Linked DNA regions of Canis lupus familiaris. The protein of the gene in region 1 purifies or fractionates together with the protein of each later gene. This does not show direct contact. Links are inferred from orthologs where the notes say so. Each region holds a gene or a part of one and is shown on either strand. Other genes may lie near its edges. The genes, in order: SLX4, PGAM5 and TOPBP1.

Region 1 (6,040 bases):
CCAAGTAACCCTGTGGCCACTACAGCAGCCACCAAACAGAGGGGTCCTGAGAATGCCGGCCACACCCAGAGCAACCCTGGGAAGCTTTTCTCCCATCACCGTCTACCAGCAGGCTTCTCTGTCACAGTGAAGGCCATGCCTGTTGCAGCTACATGTACAGTCTCTGAGGGTCCTGTCCCCCTAATGTTATCTAAATGGCCTCAAGCACATAGTGACTCCAGGCCCACCTGCATCAGGGTTGTCTGGCTCCTGGGCCCCACCCCAGGCACGGGGACAACTCCTCAGATTCCAGTATGCCAGCCCCCTGGGGGTGGGGCCCTGGACTGCATTTCAAACAAACTCTCCGGGAACAGGATACATTCGGGAACCAGGGGTCCTCCCATTCTCCCCAGGAGAGCCATCAGTTGCCATACAGACAAACACGCTACAGCCGGCACACCTGACTTCCTATCCTTCCTTCCTTTTTGGACTTTCTGTTGATGACCCGTCCTGCTGTCTTGGCTGCCAGCCTCTCCCCAGAGCCCACCGTGCACCCAGAGGGGGGACACACCTCGGCAGGGGCAGACCGCTGGGGCACCAGGGGAGGGACCAGGCTTGTGGTGTAGAAGGCTTCCAGAGCCCAGGCTCCAGTCAGGGCACTGCCCTCCCACAAAAAGTTCTTCTTCCCTCCAGGCGGCTGCAGACTCTGGCCAGCCTTTTCCAGCTCCCCCTGTAGGATCCTGCTCGCAGGAAGTGGCGGTGTGCTGGACAGCTCCATCTCCTCCGCAAAGAGCTGGGCCACCCGGTCTTCGGTCTGCCTCCCTGTGGTCTCCGGGTCTTGGAGTAACAACAGGGGAGGGCAGGCAGGTGCTTTCCTCTTGCGACTCTTCTTTTCTGGGGTGAACGGAAGCACAGGGTCAGTGACAGAGCTGCCCCACACCCTGAGGCCCAGCAGGAGTGGTGAGGCTGTGCCAGCCTGGCGCCGCACCTACCTGCCCCCAGTCTTATCCTCTCGGAGAAAGCGCTTTCCAGTCTCAGCACGGGGGGCACGGCCTCCTGCTCCATCTCGGACCGGGACAGAGCCATGGCCACCAGCAAGTCTTCAGATGGCACCTCGGGCTCGTTGACCTTCCGCTTCTTCTGCAGCTCCTTCCTATTGGTGGCTCCCTTCCGCTTCAAACCTCCGTGATTGCTGAAGCTTAAAAAGCAGCCAAACAGAAAGGTTAGTGAGGCCAGGGTGTGAGCACTTCCTGTGCCAGGAACATCCCTGCTGGACCAGAGAGGCCCAGACCCCATCTCCTCTGCATTGGGAAGAGAAAAGGGATAAACACAGACCCATTAAACAGAGGCATCAATGGCTCTGGGAGTTCACTGTGCTCATCCTGTTGCCTCATGTTAAGGTCACATGATCCTGGGCCAAGTTCAGTGCGCCCCAGAGAGGGGAGGTCTGGTCCTTCCATGTGACACTACCCTGCTGAGTTCCTGGCAGGTGTATCAAGCTCTGAGTGGTACCTGCACACTCCAGGTGTGGCCAAACCCTTTGGTGGAGTCAGCTTCCTGGATTCCACCAACTTCTGCTCATCAATCCTTCAGGTGCCCCTCAGGCAGTCCTGGCCACACTAGCCATGACAGGATCCCTTTCCTCCTGCAGGGCCTGTAGGCATCGCCTCTGCCCCAGGCCCGAAGGAAAGGCTTCCCAGCTTCCACTACCAACATGGTCAGCCAGCCTGGAGGTCAGTGTATAGCAGCAGCTCATTTGACTTGGAGATTGTCTTAAAGGATTTTCCAGCTGGAGAACCTAGACCACCTGGTGAACCCCAACAGACTGAGCAAGAAATAGGAGGGCAAAGGCGAGAGAGAAATTTGGAGCTCAACCCAGCTGTCAGAATGCTACGAAAAGCACCCTTTATAGAAGCTCATGCTTTCTCCTGGGCCAGGGGTGGCTCAAGAATCTCAGGCATCACCTTGGAAGATCTGAGCAACTCCTAATTCTGTTCCAGTTCCTGGGAACCCCACAGGTTCCCTTCTCCTCCCAGAAGGCAAGGGGTTGTCCCAGCATCTGACTACTCCAGAGTTCCATATACCCCAGGCTTGGCCTTTGGCAGAGGAGGCTCGAAGCCTTGGTGAGGGTATCCATTTGCTATAGTTTTTCTACTTTATCAACCTTCTAGAAGGACCCACACACATCTTGTTTCTCTTCTCAAAGGTTGTTTTTTTTTTAAGATTCTATCCATTTATTCATGAGAGACACAGAGAGAAAGGCAGAGACACAGGCAGAGTGAGAAGCAGGCTCCTCATAGGGATCTCGATGTATGACTCGATTCCAGGACCCTGGGATCGTGCCCTGAGCTAAAGGCACTCAACCCCTGAGCTACCCAGGTGTCCCTTCTCAGAGGTATTTAAAAAGCAGATATATTTCATCTGAGTAGGTGGTTTCCATCCAGTCCTCGCAGAAGGCAAGTGACGGCTTACGTAATGTCTGTGCTAGGGCCTTAAGGCTTCCGATTCTGAGATGCTAGTGTTGATGTGCTACGATATGGACAGGCTCACCAGCTAAGAACCCACCTGTGTCCACCCCAGTCTCACCATGGGCCTGGCTCAGATGCCCACAACCTGTGTGCAAGGCAGTGGGCAGGACAAACAGGGCCACCACTCTTGGCCTTCCCTTTGCTCTTGAAGTCCCAAACCTACAGAAGTGCAGAGCCTACACTGGTTCCTGTAACGCGGCATCCACAGCACCACGGGCAGTAGGGAGGGGAGCTGAGCTGCTTATGTGCCTGTGGTTTGCACCAGCTAGGAGCAAGGCCTCCTATTGTAACACGTAAGCATTTAGTTCATGCACGTTTAAAAAAAAAAAAAAGGCCTGTGCTTCTGTCTCACCAACTGTGTGAACTCACTGAGTCTTCTTCACCAAATGGTAGGAGACTCGGGCTGCACGGAGGTGGAAGCTGTGGCACACCACATGTGAATGGACACAATCAGGTGTGTTACCAGATTCCTCCCTCCTCCAGACGACACCTGCGTGGACCATTTCAAGGCCTTCGAGGGTACAGAATCTGTCTCCTCCTCAGTCCTGGTGGAGACTCTGCCGGATTTCCTCCTCACATCTCATTTCCAGAATCAAGGAGGGTTCTCAGGCTCTACTGTTCTCTAATAATACAAAAGGCTTTAAAAAGAAACAATCCAAGTATTTCTTTGATTTTCCTCCTTTTCCTCTGACTCACCTTGATGCCTGTGTGCTACAGGCCCCGTCAGGCTGAGCTGTCTGCAGCCGCACGGCCTGGAGCAGGAGCTGGGGGCCGACGTCCATCTTCACTGCACACTGTTTCAAGTGGCTGATTCTGCTCTTTGGGGTGAGAAAGGGTTTGCCACAAATTGGGCATTCGGGGATCCGAGGTATGGAGGGTGTCAGTGCCTTTTCAGCCTCATCCAAGCACCTGGAGGAAGACAGTAAACATAAGAGAACCTTCTCCCCAGTAACGTGCATCCACGTCAGCATAGACAGGCCGTGGGCCCAGCCTGTCCTGCCATAGCCCACTCCTCCACATAGCCTGCAGTCAGCTTCTAATGCTAAATTTAGGTATCTGCTGGCTGAAGTGAGCAAGGACATGGCAAACAGTGGCAATGTGTACCCTAAGGAAGTGAGAACAGATACTCTAACATGAGAAACACGTGGTCACAGCAGCTCTATTTACAAAATCCAAAAGTCAGAGACAATCTATACAGATGAACAAGACGTGGTCTGTCCATATGACAAGATATTATTCAGCTGTAAAAAGGAATGAGATTCCAATCCGTGCTCCAACCTGAACTTGAAAGCACTACGCTGAGGGAAGGAAGCCAGACACAAAAGGCTACATCTTACGTGACTCCGCTTACGTCCCCAACGGACAAGTCCGCGGAGACAGTATATTAGCCCCTGCGAGGGGATGGCAGTGGGGGAATGAACAGTGAGCGCTAATGGGGACAGGGTCTCTTTTTGGGGGTAATGAAAATATTCTAAAACTTATTGTGGTAACGGTTGCACAATTCTGTGAATATAATAAATAAAAGCCATTGAATTGTTAACTTTAAAAAGATGACCTGGGACGCCTGGGGGGCTCAGTGGCTGAGCATCCACCTTCGGCCCAGGCCATAACCCTGGGTCCAGGATCGAGTCCCGCATCAGGTCCGCACAGGGAGCCCGCTTCTCCCTCTGCCTGGGTCTCGACCTCTCTGTGTTTTGTGAATAAATAACATCTTTAAAAAATAAATAAAAGGATGAGCTGCATAATATGGGAATCGCAGCTCAATAAAGCTGTCCAATGAAATGGCAGGGCTAGGTTGAGGCCTATGCAGAGGTGCTCTGGTCACGGCCGCCCAGTCTGTCTTCCTACCGGTTCACGTGCTGCTCCCTTCGCGTCACATTCATGGCCGAGAGGTTCTTGTGGCAGATCTGGCAGAAGAACAGCCCTGCCTCCTCCAGGCTGCCCTCTGGTGTGGCTGTGGCTGCTCCGTGGGGCCCAAGGCCCTGCTGCAGGGTGCTCTCCAGCACGAGGAGCCCGTAGCCCGGCCCTGGGGGGAGAGGGAGGGGAGTGAGGGCTGGGCCCTGCTGCCCACGCTCCTGCAGCACCAGGCGGACACGCGGCCACCGTCACCCAGCACCGGGCAGCCGCCCGTGAGGCCTCCCGTTGCGCGCTGCTCCCAGGCCCCGTGAGGTGGCAGCGCCTCGGCCACTGTCACAACCAGGCCCTGGCGGACGCACCGTTCCTGTCCCCTCCTGCTTGAGCCTCCACCCATTCCATGGAGCACAGGCTTCCCCTGCAAAGCTCAGCCTTTCCTACTGCTATGACCTTTTGCTAGAGAGGCCCTTGGCACTCACAGACGCGGAAACCTTCCGAAGTCCCCAGTTCTTGAATATTCCTGTGGCCTATCTTCCCACCGAAGCCAGAAAAGCATCGCACCTCATTTTGGTGCCTTATTTTTTTCTCAACAAAGAAATGGTTTCTCTGTCTCGAGCCCTGAGCATTACTGGGAATGCTTTGAAGGTTGATGCAAACAACCGAGTCACACGCAGGGCAAGTGCTGAGCTCGTGTCCTAGCTGAGCAACTCCAACGCACCCCGGTGGAGTCACAGGGGGTGATGCAATGGTGGATGTCCCCTCTGCCCGTGTGAACCTTAGAGGTAGCCTGAGAATCCTCAGTGCTCCCAGGGTGAACTCTGCAAACCCACTACCAGGAGACTATGTGTTTGTAGCTGCAGGTCCATCGATACAGTTTCTTCCTAGTTATTTCTTTTCTGTGTATTTTCACCAGAGAGGAGGGCTCACATTGTTCTGGGGGGAAAGAACAGAACCAGGGGTATGACGTGCCTCCTGGGGTGGTGGAGGGTGCACTGCATGGCACCTGCATGGCACCTGCACGCTTGGTGCCTGCTGCCTTCACCCAAGGCCCCCCAGACCTCTGGTTTACTCACACGTAATATACCACAGGGCTACAGGAAGTGGTTATGTGACACTATGAGGAAACAATCAAACAAATCTAAAAGTGGGAAATTTAAAAAGACAATTGTCCTGGACTCTTCCAAAAGTTGGTATCATGGAAAAAAAAAAAAAAAAAACAGGACAAGGGGACTGTTCTAGAATCTAGACTTTAAAAGACTACTGAACTATAGCAGATGCAGTGTGTGGGACTTATGGTTCTGACCAATCCTTGTTCAGAAAAAAAAAGAAACCATCTATAAGGCTGTCTTTGGGACAAGTGGGGAGATTTTAATATGAACTGGACACCAGGCAGTATTATGGAATCAAGTGTGACAACAGCACTGTGATCATGTAGGAGATGTATGAGGGAGAAGCATCATGACATCTAGAACTTACTTTGAAATGGTATAGAAGAATCAGATATACTTAGGAGAAATAAAAAATACATGCCAAAATGTTAATAATTGTTAAATACAGATTGAGGGCATGGGGGTTCATTGTAATATTTTTTTTTTTTACCTTTCTGTATGGGAAAAATATCATAATAAAAAGTCAAAATAAGAGGAAGAGGTCCTTTGTCAAAGAAGCTAAATGCGAAA
Region 2 (5,287 bases), on another chromosome or scaffold:
CCAGCTACCCCTTCCTGGTACCTGGTTTCGTTTTCTACACATCTCTTATCACTTGGCTGTTTTTATCAGTCTCTTTTCACTAGAACACAAGCTGCATGAGAGCTTCATTTGTCCACTTCATTCACTGATCACCCCAAACAGGCCTGGCACTCCGCTCTGGGTAAATGCGATGTGCTCTAAGAGGATGGGCTCTTAGGGGCCACAGCAGAGGGCAGAGGGTATTGTTTGTCCCTGCGCTTTCCCAAGACGGAAATACCGTCTAGTCAAAAAAACTCAATTCTGATTTGTGAGCAGAGATCACAAGGACACGCCTCTCATATTTCAACATTAGGCGAGAACCACTATCCTTGGTCAACCTGCGGAAGAGGAACCTAGACTCTGGAGAAGAAGAACTGGCGTCCAGGCTGGACCACTGCAAAGCAAAGGCCACACGACACATCTTCCTCATCAGGCACTCCCAGTACCACATGGATGCCTCCCTGGAAAAGGACCGCACTCTAACACCCCTGGGTATGTGCTGGGACTCAAGCCCCAACTGACACTTGTCCTAGTGACGCTGGGCCCCTTTGGACCTGTGTCAGGGGCTTGGCCCAGATTCAAGAATTGTCATTAACAGTGATCAGCAACCTAACTGATACAAGACAGGCATTGAAAACATCCTCAACTTTAGGGGCGCCTGGGTGGCTCAGCAGTTGAGCAGCACCTTTGGCCCAAGGCATGACCATGTGTCCGGGGATCGAGTCCCGCATCAGGCTCCCTGTGGGGAGCCTGCTTCTCCCTCTGCCTGTGTCTCTGCTTCTCTGTGTCTCTCATGAATAAATAAATAAAATCCTTGAAAAAAAAAATTCCTCAACTTTAAAAAATGTATGGTGGATCTCACAGGTGATCAGACCCAAAGCACAGCAGAGGTGTTCTATACTCCCTGATGCTCTGTAAGTGGCATAGCCCATGCACCCTGTTCTGCTTGACTTAACCTGTTGCTGAAGATCCTTCTATTCAGCACTTGCAGATCTGTTTAAAGTTTGCTTCATAATGGTAAACAGACAGGATTGAGTGATAGCTCTAACCATCTCCCTGGCAGGAGTGCTACTTATTGCAGTTTCTTGCCATCGTGAGCAGCACTGCGGGGCATGCCCTTCCACCGTGGTCTTTGTGCCCATGTGCAAGCATATCTGTAGAAGAAATTCCTAGGAGAGGAAGTACAGGGTGGTCTGAGATAAGGTTTACATTTTTAAAGATGTCTTTGTTGGATAGGATATTAGCCATCTGTGCACATTCAGTGCTACATGCACTTGAAACTGACCTTCTGAGAGCATTTTCATCTAGATTCTAAAATATATATATATATATATATATATATTTTTTTTTTTTAATTTTATTTGAGAGATTGAGCAAGACAGAGCACAAGCGGGAGGAGGGGAAGAGGGAGAGGGAGAAGCAGACTCCCTGCTACGCAGGGAGCTTGACTTGGGACTCAATCTCAGGACTCCAAAATCATGAGTCCAAGGGAGACACTTATCCCACTGAACCACCCAGGCATCCCTAAAATATATATTTGAGAAAAAAGATTTGTATTTGTACACAGACTGTACTTAGTGAATGCTGAGGCCATTTGGTCTTTACGTGTTGACATCTGTGATAATGCACAACTGGTCGATCCATGGCACGTTGCAACTCCATGTTTGGACAAAATTAAAAGTGGCATAAAGGACACAAAGATAGGAACAGGATCCCAGATCTCAGGGATCCTCAACCTTGGTCATTAACATTCCTTCTGTATGGAGCTAAAGGTAACTGCATTATCTCATTGTTTCCACCTGTCAAATGCTTGGCCCCTAGTTAGGGCCAAACCCCAGGAGGGTCTGCCCGTCTTGTTCCCCAGCCGTAAGGGCACTTGGTAAAGGACTGGAGTATTTCTGAAGTAAACAAAAGAGGAACTCCAGCAACCTATAATTCTCTGGTGTTTTTCACCTTCAAGGTCGTGAACAGGCTGAACTAACTGGGCTCCGACTTGCAAGCTTGGGGTTGAAGTTTAATAAAATTGTCCATTCGTCTATGACCCGAGCCATAGAAACCAGTGACATCATCAGCAAGCACCTGCCAGGTGAGTGCCCCGCATCTCCAGGGCACACTGGGTGGCTAGTCCTGAAGGGGCAGCACCTAGCTGCGGCTTCTCTTACAGGTGTCTGCAAGGTCAGCACAGACCTGCTGAGGGAAGGCGCCCCCATTGAGCCCGACCCGCCTGTGTCCCACTGGAAGCCAGAGGCTGTGGTAAAAGCCCCACTCCCCCCGAGCCCCCCCGACCTGCAGCCTGCATGCCCTGCGGCCTGCATGCCGTGGCCATCCTTAAGATTCCTTGCTCTGCCCCCAGCAGTATTATGAAGATGGAGCCCGGATTGAGGCCGCCTTCCGGAACTACATCCATCGGGCAGATGTCAAGCAGCAGGAAGACAGTTACGAGATCTTCATCTGCCATGCCAATGTCATCCGCTACATCGTGTGCCGGTGAGGGGTGACATAGGTTCCCTGGCCCACCATCCTTCCTGCCAGCCTGTGCCAGTGCCTCTTCCCTGGAGACCTTAGCCTTCTGGGAGAATGTCAGTTTGGAGTTTTTCCATGATCGTGTATTTATGGCGGGAATAGCACAAATGTGATCCACTTGTCCAGGGTAGGTCGGGGTGCCCGAGAAGTCAGTGGCACATTCTGGGTGATGCTAACACGGTCACTTGGTTCAGGCACTGTGCGCTGGACTTCACACCGTACAGTCGGTTTTTCCCCCTCAGTGATTTGTAAGCGTCTTGGGAGACAGTGCAAATCTTCTGTCCCTCTGATTTATACCGACTGACTTTAGCCCATTGGGAGTTCCTGCCACAACAGATACAGTGGTGGTGCTCACCTAATGGTGGTTTTGCATTTCTGTCTGTCATTTGTTATTTGAAATCCTTCTGTAAGACCTCACTCTTACTCTGTTTATTTGTAGGATTATAGACTCATAGATCTGTATTTAGCACTGTGGATTAGAACCCATCACCATGTTCGTCCCTTCACTGCTCTGGCTGCCCCAGCACTGGCTGCCCCAGCATTGGCTGTTGGGCCCCCAGGAGGCTTCTGTGTCCTCTGGACCTGCCTCACTTCCTGGCACTAACGGAGGTTCCAGAGCCCTCATGAGTGATGCCTGCCCTGAGTAGCAGCCATGTACCAAAGGCCCTTGGAGGTAGTTAGGCCAGCTGGGTGCTTATGTATTTAACCAAAGTTCACTTAGTGAAAAATTTGAAGTAACTGGAATCCCAGACACCCCCTGGACCCATTAGAAAGTGTGCATTGGGCATTTTAACAGCTGAGGGATCTCCTCTTGTGATGAGTCTGACAGGGCAGGACAGGACACAGCCCACCGGCTGGCCCACAGGACTATCCAAATGTAGGCCCAGGGTCCTTGCTCACCATGCTTGATCCTTGGACCTTTCACCAGGGCTGGCAGGAACGGGGTCATTTCCCCTCCAATGTCCCATGCACGGCCTCTGGTGAGAAGCCCAGGGCATCCGAGGCAGGGGGCACACTGATGCCAGGAGTCAGGCTTCTCAGCTTGGTCACAGGGCTCCAGGCCAGGTGGAGTGTTGCTGGGGAAGAGGGGTGAGCCTCAGACAGGCCTCCACACACTCTGAAGTGCTCAGCACTTCATGTCCTCCAGAGGGCATAGTCTCAGAGCTCCTGTGCTCAGCACATGCTGTTCCCCGGCACCACCCTCATTGCTGCTCTGGATGTCTCTGCACCGTGGAAACGCCATAATCTAACACCCTGTGACAGGCTGACCCCAGCAGCCACTAGAAGTGACCCCAATGCTGAAAACTAATCAGAATTGGGGACTTGGAGTAGAGGTGACCTGTGTGCCATAAAGGGCTAGAAGGAACCAGAGCATCCCTGTCACAATACATGAGGTTATTTTGGAGTTTGTGAGGGACACAAGGAGAAGACTTTAAAAAGCACCATGGTGGCTGCAGAGTGAGCCAAGGGGATGCCCCTTACCATTTAGGGCACAAAGGATGTCTGATGACTTGGGGAAGCCATGATGATACTGGGCTTTTCAGCAAATACTGCACCTAAAAAGTGTTCCTGAGGACAAGGAAAGGCTCTGGGCTTGTGGATTATACCACCCTGTTCCTGGGCAAGAGTGGAATAGGAATGGGTCCATTGCACAGTCCGGCTGCCCCTGCCCCCTTTTGGTTACACTGGAAAAAGAAGTCAATGGAAGCCATGTATTTCTGACTCACATGCACATCTGGAGTTGGGTTAATCCCCTGACCCAAAGAGGGGCTGGGCTGTCCCCATCCCCCTTGATTTGATGGGAGATCATCAGCCCAGTAGCTCTGTCCTCTGAGAGACCCCTTGCTGAAAAACAGGAGGGACAGACTTGGCTATATGGGTCCCAGCCCCAAGAAAATCTCTGAGGGGGATCCCTGGGTGGCGCAGCGGTTTAGCGCCTGCCTTTGGCCCAGGGCGCGATCCTGGAGACCCGGGATCGAGTCCCACGTCGGGCTCCTGGTGCATGGAGCCTGCTTCTCCCTCTGCCTATGTCTCTGCCTCTCTCTCTCTCTCTCTCTCTCTCTCTCTGCAACTATCATAAATAAATAAAAGTTAAAAAAATATTAAAAAAAAAAAAAGAAAAAGAAAATCTCTGAGACCCTAACTGGGGTGGGGGCTATTGCATTGCCCAGACCCCAGCCTGTTTTGGTGGCTGAGCCCTCTGTTCTAGCATGTTCTTTCTCTTTCCAGGGCACTGCAGTTCCCTCCTGAAGGCTGGCTCCGCCTGTCTCTCAACAATGGCAGCATAACCCACCTGGTGGTACGGCCAGATGGCCGAGTGGCGCTCAGGACCCTCGGGGACACAGGGTTCATGCCTCCAGACAAGATATCGCGCTCCTGAGAGCTGCTTGGAGGACCTGCTCTCCTCTAGCCCCTGTGGCTCCCATGGGTGTCACCCAGGACATGGTTCCTTCCCCATCTTCCCTCCACAGGCTGCATTGTGGTTACATTGCACTCTTCCTGGAGAGTGAGAAAGTACAAATATCTCAAGTATCTAAAATGTGGTATTTGGGTCCATACTTGGCAGCCCAGGATAGAAAAGGGAATTGTTCTGAGCAGAGCAGCCTGACTTCCCTCTTGGGGTTTCCTTCCCTGTCTACCAGGATGAGGCCTCACCGATGCCATGTGCAGGGACCACGGTCAGTCCACATGGGTGTCTTCAGTCACTCCCACAGCTGGCCACATGGGCCCTTCCCGGCTCCTTGGC
Region 3 (6,821 bases), on another chromosome or scaffold:
AGTGTTATTTCCAAAAGGAGGGTAAGACCAACAATGCTTTTGGCAAAGGTGGGCACAGACCTTCCATAAATTGTGCAGATACTGCATCTACCTACTCTTCTATGTTTTCTTCTCCTTCAAACAAGAATCACTTCTTTGTAATCTGGATGGAATTACAGCCAGTTTACTTTTATTTCAATGCTTCTCGCTTGTCCAGACACCAAAAAAGTAATGAGTCAGTAGACTCTGGAATCAACAAAGAGAGATAAGATGGCTCATTGGTATATTAGCAATACTCATCCCCAAAATGTTTCCTTTAGGCATATAATGTTTCAGACCCTCTACAAGGTACAGGTACTAAAATTCTGCGTGCAAGTGCACATAGGAAAGACAGTAAGTAACCAAGCGTTATGTTGAGATCTTTTCCTACTCTTTACTGAAAATCTGAGTTTAAGTACAGTAGAACTCTGTCATTAAAATGTTTCATTACTATACAGTTCACTTAAGCTAAGAGAAGTTAAATCTCCTGTAATATAAAAATTACATACAACAAAAGCTTGTTGTAACATGATTAGCCTTTAAAAATACTAGTCTGGTTTCCTAAAACCAAAGGATTCCTCTATATTCATAATCTGTATAATATCTCACGGTCAGTAAAGAACTTATGTCCACTGAAGCAAAAACAAAAATCAGACTATGGAAGGAACACATGAAAAGTTAGCAAACCTTTTTGAGGTGATCAAAGACAACGCCACTAAAAGGGTCACAGATATAAAGTGACCTATCATTTTCCTGTATCTTCAATGCCTCTTCTTCTGTAATAATCTGAAGATATTCTTCTGATTGAAATTCTTTTATTGACTGAAAGAAAAAAAAAAGAAAGAATGCACATAAAATTTTTCACCTGTATTTAAGTCCTATGAGTTCTACCTTCAAAATCCATCCAATCTTTTCCCCCATTGAAAGCTACTATCATCTCTCACTTAGACCTCTGCAGAAGTCTACAAAGTGGTTCCTTCTCCTTTCTTGGCCCTAAATCTCTTCTCCGTACAGCAACTAGTGATCGATCTCTAACAATACAAATCAGGTCATGAGTCTGTCCCCTGTCTATCTCCTCACTCTTAACCCTCTACCTCTCACCTCTCCTACTCTTCTCTAGCCACTCCTACTTTCTTGCTAGGCCTGAAACAAGCCAAGCATGACCTAATTAGAGGCTCTGCTATTGTTCCTGCTACCTGGAATACCCTCCCAGTCTTCATCTGACTTGCTCCCTCACTTCAGATCTGTTCAAATGAAAAAGAGAAAGTCAAAGTCCTTACAATAGTCCTTAAGGCCCATTACATGACCTCTGTACCCTTACTCTCTAAGGTACTTTTTAATATTCTTCCCCCATCCCCCGTTCACTATACTACAGCCATACTACTGTTGGATAGGCACTTCCAAGTACTTTCTCAGGGGCCTGTATATGGCTGTTCTCTCTGCCTGAAAGCTTCTTCCCAGACATCCACATGGCCAACCATCTCACCTCCTTCAAGTGTACTCAATTATCTTCTCTATAAAGCCTTCACCAATCACACTCTAAAGATTGTAACCTTCCCTTCTCCTCTCAACATTCTCTAGAACTCCTTAATCTGTTTTGTTCTTTTCTCTTTCCGTAACACATAGCACCTTATTAACATACCGTACAGTTTACTCATTTACTGATTCATGTCTAGTTCTTATTGCTAAAATAGAATGTAAGTTCTGAGAAAGTATGGATCTTTGCTTGCTGTAATCACTTGTGTATCCCAAGTACTACAATAGTGCTTAACACGTCATGACACTGAATAATTATTTGCTGAATGAACTTTAAGAGAAATCTGCTACACGGCAGCCTTGGTGGCTCAGCTGTTTAGCGCTGCCTTCAGCCCAGGGCGTGATCCTGGAGATCCAGGATCGAGTCCCACGTCGGGTTCCCTGCATGGAGCCTGCTTCTCCCTCTGCCTGTGTCTCTGCCTCTCTCTCTGTCTCTCATGAATAAATAAATAAAATCTTAAAAAATATATATTAAAAAAAATCTGCTACAATAGTGCTTCTTAAACTTTGGAATCACACTGAGGATCTTTTTATTTTTTAAAGATTTTATTTATTTATTCATAAGAGACACAGATTGAGAGAGAGAGAGAGAGAGAGGCAGAGACACAGGCAGAGGGAGAAGCAGGCTCCATGCAGGGAGCCTGACGCAGGACTCGATCTGGGGTGTCCAGGATCACACCCTGGGCTACAGGCGGCTCTGGGCTGCCCTGAGGATCTTTTTAAAATGCAGATTCTAATTGGTCAGTCTGAGTTGGGCCCAACGTTCTCCATTTCCAACTCTACTGATGTGGCCGGGGTCTCTAAGTAGCAAGGCTCTACAACACCCCCCCACACCTTCCCATATTACAGTGTACATGGTGAAACCTACTTCTAATTACCAAAAAATGAAGTGTAACCAGTACAAAACAGACTCAAATTTCTTCAACATACAAAGGTCTACTCTGGCTAGTAGACAAAGAAAGCAATGTAATTTTCAAGAATAGCAGCTCTGCTACTTTAAATAAAAATGTCATAATAGGGTGCCCTGGCTCAGTTGGTTAAGTGTCTGCCTTCAGCTCAGGTCATGATCCCACGGTCCTGGGATCCAGCCCCGCATCGGGCTGCCTGCTCCATGGGGAGTCTGCTTCTTTCTCTGCTTTGTGCTGTCAAATAAATAAATAAAAATCTTAAAAAAAAAAAAAGCGATAGATTTCATGCCCCCCAAAATATATAATAATGAACTATTTATTACCCCAATCCAAAACTATGTAATGACACATCCGTGTTGATGTACACTACAGTAAAACTAGAGTGAAAATAAAACATTACTAAGACATAAAAAGCCCAACAAATCAAAAACACTAAAACGGAGGAAATGAATTCACGGCCATTTTCAAACTATTCTTACCTCCAGAGCTTTAAAAAAACATTCGGAATTGTCTGAAGACTTTAAAAACTTCACAAGAAACGGTTCTTTGTCATTTCTGGACATTTTTGAACTGTCAAAATAGAGGAACCATTAAGAAGGACAAAAACACATCACGTATGAAGTTACATGTTAAAAGCACCTATTTTTTCTGTGCAGAACAGCAATGCCCAAGGATAGAGACGTTCTGGCCTTGCCCATGAACTCGTTCATTAGTTTCTAAGAAACGCTGGAATGTGGGCAAAGTCAAGGAAAAAGAGGACAACATCAATCCTTGCACGTCAGAGAATGAAATGAAAGTCTTTAAATTGAATACGTTCAGGGCCTCTGGGGCTCTACGACCCCTAAGCCAAGGAGCAATTCAACTGCACTTAAGGATACACAGAACCAGACTGTCCACGCTTGTTCACTCAGTAAACGGACTTGAATATAAACAAGGAAGCCGGTTAGCGAGGTCATGCCCCAGAAGGCCGAGCGCTCCTGCCTGCCTCTTGCCACAGATGGGCCCGGCTCTCGGTCCAACCGCGGCCCCATCCTCTACGGCGTCAAGGTCCCGCCCGCCGGTCCGAGGGCCCCGTAGGCCGGCGGAGGTGCCGCGACCCCCCAACCGCGGTGGGGAGGGAGCCAGGTCCGCCCCCCGTGCCTCACTCACCTCGGGGGAGCCTGCGGGCCTTCGGGCGGGGAGCGGAGGGGCGCGCGGCCTGCCAGACGGCGGCTGGGGTCGGGCGCCAGCCCGGCGCACACCCGCCGCAGCCCGCGGCGCCCCCGACCCGAAGCCGACGCAGAACCCGGAAATTGCCGAGGCGGCGAACCGACTTTCGCGCCAACCGCGCGGACGCGCCCGCCTCTTCCGGCGGAAGTGACGCCAGCCGCCGCCGCGGCAGGGTGGCGGCGACGGCGGCGGGAGTGGCGCTGCTGCCTGTCGGCTGGGGGGGTGCCGGGGCGTAGGGCTTGGAAGGCGGGCCCTGGCTCCGTCGGGAGTTGGCCGGGCGTGCACAGCTCGGGGCGTGGGGTAGCAGGCCGGGACGACCTGGCGAAATAAGCCCCGGGGAAAATCAGGTTTCCCCGATCAGTAAAATACTACCATATGCAGGGCAGTGTGTGAGAAAACGTGTATTATCGCCCTAAACAATTTTCTGAGGCACATAGTGTCGCATCTATTTGCGTTTTACAGATGTGAAAACAGAGTCTTCGGTAAGTTAAGCGATGTAAGGTCACGTGGTAAATGGTAGCCTTAAAACTGCGTCCAAGGCTCTTTGACTCCATAGAAGGGTCCTTTTTCCTCCAATGTCGGAGGAATGTGAGCCTTCCGGAGGAATATGGCCTCCGCAAGGAAAGAAAGATGTCAGGATGACTTGAGTCACTTAGCCGAGGAAGAGGGTCTGGGTCAAGATCTTCAGTGGTCTCTGCTCCTCTTCCAAGGCTGTCTCATTTCCTTTAACTCCCTGAGGGTTGGGGAGATTCTGGGGGTGGAGCCTGATGTTCAAATGGCAAAGGACAGGGATGAGAAGGGTTTAATGGACCTGCGGAATCCTGGCTTGTTGACCCGTGACAAATTGCTTAGCTAGTGTTTCTTTTCTTTTTCCTTTTTTTTTTTTTTTTTTTTGTTTATTCATGAGACACAGGGAGAGAGGCAGGCTCCATGCAGGGAGCCCGACCTGGGTGGGACTCGATCCCGGGATCCCTCCCTGGGCCTAAGGCAGGCGCTCAACCGCTGAGCCACCCAGGGATCCCCCAGTCATGAGCTTCTTAATCTCAAGAGTGAGGAATAAAATAAAAAACACTAGCTAAGGGGCAGCCCGGGGGGCTCAGAGGTTGATCAGCCCAGGGCGTGATCCCAGAGTTCTGGGATCTAGTCCCACATTGGGCTCCCTGCATGGAGCCTGCTTCTCCCTCTGCCTGTGTGTCTGCCTCTCAATCTCTCTCTGTCTCTCTCATAAATAAATAAATAAATAAATAAATAAATAAATAAATAAATAAATAAATAAATAAAAAAAAAAATCTTAAAAAAAGAAGCAGCTCATGACTTTGGGTTGAGCAATATGACAGTTTAACCCCAACTGTTTTTCCTTTTAGTGCCCAAGGATGAGTCTACGTGTGTAAATACACCTGTGCAAGGTGAGTCAGAATCAGTAACACTGGGGCTCAGAGGTACAGGTCATTGTTGGGGAGAGGGTGAGGAGAGTCTTAAAAATAAACCAAAGTTACTAGAGTTGTAAAAAATAAAAAAATAAAAACCAGGAGAATGAGCCACCACTGCTACAGGTTATTGTTAAGGAGCAAATCTGTCACAAGCTGTGGCAATAATTACTGTTTGTGGGGTACTTTACAGTCAACAAAGGACCCCTGCTTGCACTATTCCTGTCTACTCTCCTCAGCAATCTTCTAGGATGTGGGCATCATCATCCCGTGTTGTGTAGATGGGGAAAGTGAGTCCCAGAGCCACACAGCTGGGGAGTGGCTGCACCCAGGCTTGATAAGAGGTAGTGTGACTGGAAGCCCCTTGCCCTTCCCACACCACCCTATCCTTGTCACATGCTGCCTGCCTTCTCTGTACCAGGAGGCAGGAGCCCATCCCTAACACTTCTGGGCCAAGTGGAGGCTTCATGAGAGGAGAGTCATAGATGCTCTAATGAAGAGGAGGAGGAAAATGAACTCACCCCTTTAGCTCTTAGCCAGCTGATTTTAATAACAGAGGAGTTGGTCTTGTCCTTAGAATAGACCAGGTGACAAGTTCTCCCATCTGTGTCTCCAGGTAGGCAAGGAAGGTCTGTATCTGTCCCCTAAGTACCTAGTCTTGGAAAACAGAGCAGTGTTTCTCAATCTAGTGTAGTGCCTGCACCAGCTGCATCAGCATGAACTAGGAATTTGTTGGAAATGAAAATTCTCGGGCCTAATCTCAGACTTGCTTAGTCAGGAACTCTGCGTGTGGGTCCTGGCATTCCATTTTAGTAAGCCCTCCAGCTGATTCTGATACACACAAAAGTTTGCCCAAACAGCATCTCTGAGGGAAGGGTGAAAGTGGTGATATGGGTTGTGGTCCATGAAGGTTTTGGTGAAAAGGGGGAACAGCTGTGATTTCCCTACGGACAGCTGCCTCAGAAGATGGAGTTCAGAATTAAGTTTGTCTTCACTGGCATTCAGGGTCACCGTCTTGTTTCTTTGGCATTTCTGTCATCAGTAGTCAGACACTCCAAACTCTGCTTGAAATAGGATTAAAGGGAACTTGATGTTTACAAAAAAAAATTCTTTTTAAGATTTTATTTATTTATTCATGAGAGACACACAGAGAGAGGCAGAGACACAGGCAGAGGGAGGAGCAGGCTCCATCCCAGGAATCCAGGATCATGCCCTGGGCCGAAGGCAGATGCTAAACTGCTGAGCCACCCAGGGATCCCAGGAACTTGATATTTAACTGTAGAATGAAAAAACACAAGAAATAAATATAACAAATTAGAAATTAAAATTATCTTTTAAAATATAGGTGTAGGGAATATGAGTATTTCTTGTTATATTTTGCTACATAGATAAGATTTCTGAAAACTAAAAATATTTTTAGTATTTTTCGAATGAAAGTTTATATTTAAGTTTCTAGTGCTGTAAATGGATAAATGTAGGGATTATAACTTAAAAATGAGGTTAGTAAATGATCTTTATTGCTGCAGAAACCATCTTTGCAGTGGCAAAACATTTGTTTAAATTGTTGTATGTAGTGACCTAGAAAGTAAAGCATAAGCATACTGAGTCTACTGAGGTGCAGGGAAAAGGAAATAAAATAGTGTTAGTGGCATGTGTTGCTACTGGTTGCACTTAATTAGGTACTAATTAGGTATTTTAACAGAGGAGTTGGTCTTGTCCTTAG

What was found.
Region 2: the proteins of SLX4 (region 1) and PGAM5 purify together in Homo sapiens (affinity purification with mass spectrometry; 4 studies listed by BioGRID and IntAct, with this or other methods). This does not show direct contact. The link is inferred for Canis lupus familiaris from reciprocal best matches to the Homo sapiens genes SLX4 and PGAM5.
Region 3: the proteins of SLX4 (region 1) and TOPBP1 purify together in Homo sapiens (affinity purification with mass spectrometry; 3 studies listed by BioGRID, with this or other methods). This does not show direct contact. The link is inferred for Canis lupus familiaris from reciprocal best matches to the Homo sapiens genes SLX4 and TOPBP1.

Annotation. Positions count from the first base shown.
Region 1 is NC_049227.1:37,952,279-37,958,318, reverse strand, and holds part of SLX4 (structure-specific endonuclease subunit SLX4), read right to left. Parts: intron 4,534-6,040; coding exon 4,356-4,533; intron 3,417-4,355; coding exon 3,204-3,416; intron 1,178-3,203; coding exon 972-1,177; intron 874-971; coding exon 551-873; intron 1-550. UniProt on the Homo sapiens protein: Regulatory subunit that interacts with and increases the activity of different structure-specific endonucleases.
Region 2 is NC_049247.1:424,593-429,879, reverse strand, and holds part of PGAM5 (serine/threonine-protein phosphatase PGAM5, mitochondrial), read left to right. Parts: intron 1-294; coding exon 295-510; intron 511-1,978; coding exon 1,979-2,104; intron 2,105-2,182; coding exon 2,183-2,271; intron 2,272-2,351; coding exon of another isoform or gene 2,352-2,371; coding exon 2,372-2,505; intron 2,506-4,770; coding exon 4,771-4,921; 3' UTR 4,922-5,287. UniProt on the Homo sapiens protein: Mitochondrial serine/threonine phosphatase that dephosphorylates various substrates and thus plays a role in different biological processes including cellular senescence or mitophagy. Modulates cellular senescence by regulating mitochondrial dynamics.
Region 3 is NC_049244.1:31,094,380-31,101,200, forward strand, and holds the start of TOPBP1 (DNA topoisomerase 2-binding protein 1), read right to left. Parts: upstream 3,723-6,821; 5' UTR 3,612-3,722; intron 3,470-3,611; exon of another isoform or gene 3,341-3,469; intron 3,189-3,340; exon of another isoform or gene 3,033-3,188; 5' UTR 3,026-3,032; coding exon 2,942-3,025; intron 843-2,941; exon of another isoform or gene 841-842; coding exon 706-840; intron 226-705; exon of another isoform or gene 88-225; coding exon of another isoform or gene 61-87; intron 1-60. UniProt on the Homo sapiens protein: Scaffold protein that acts as a key protein-protein adapter in DNA replication and DNA repair. Composed of multiple BRCT domains, which specifically recognize and bind phosphorylated proteins, bringing proteins together into functional combinations.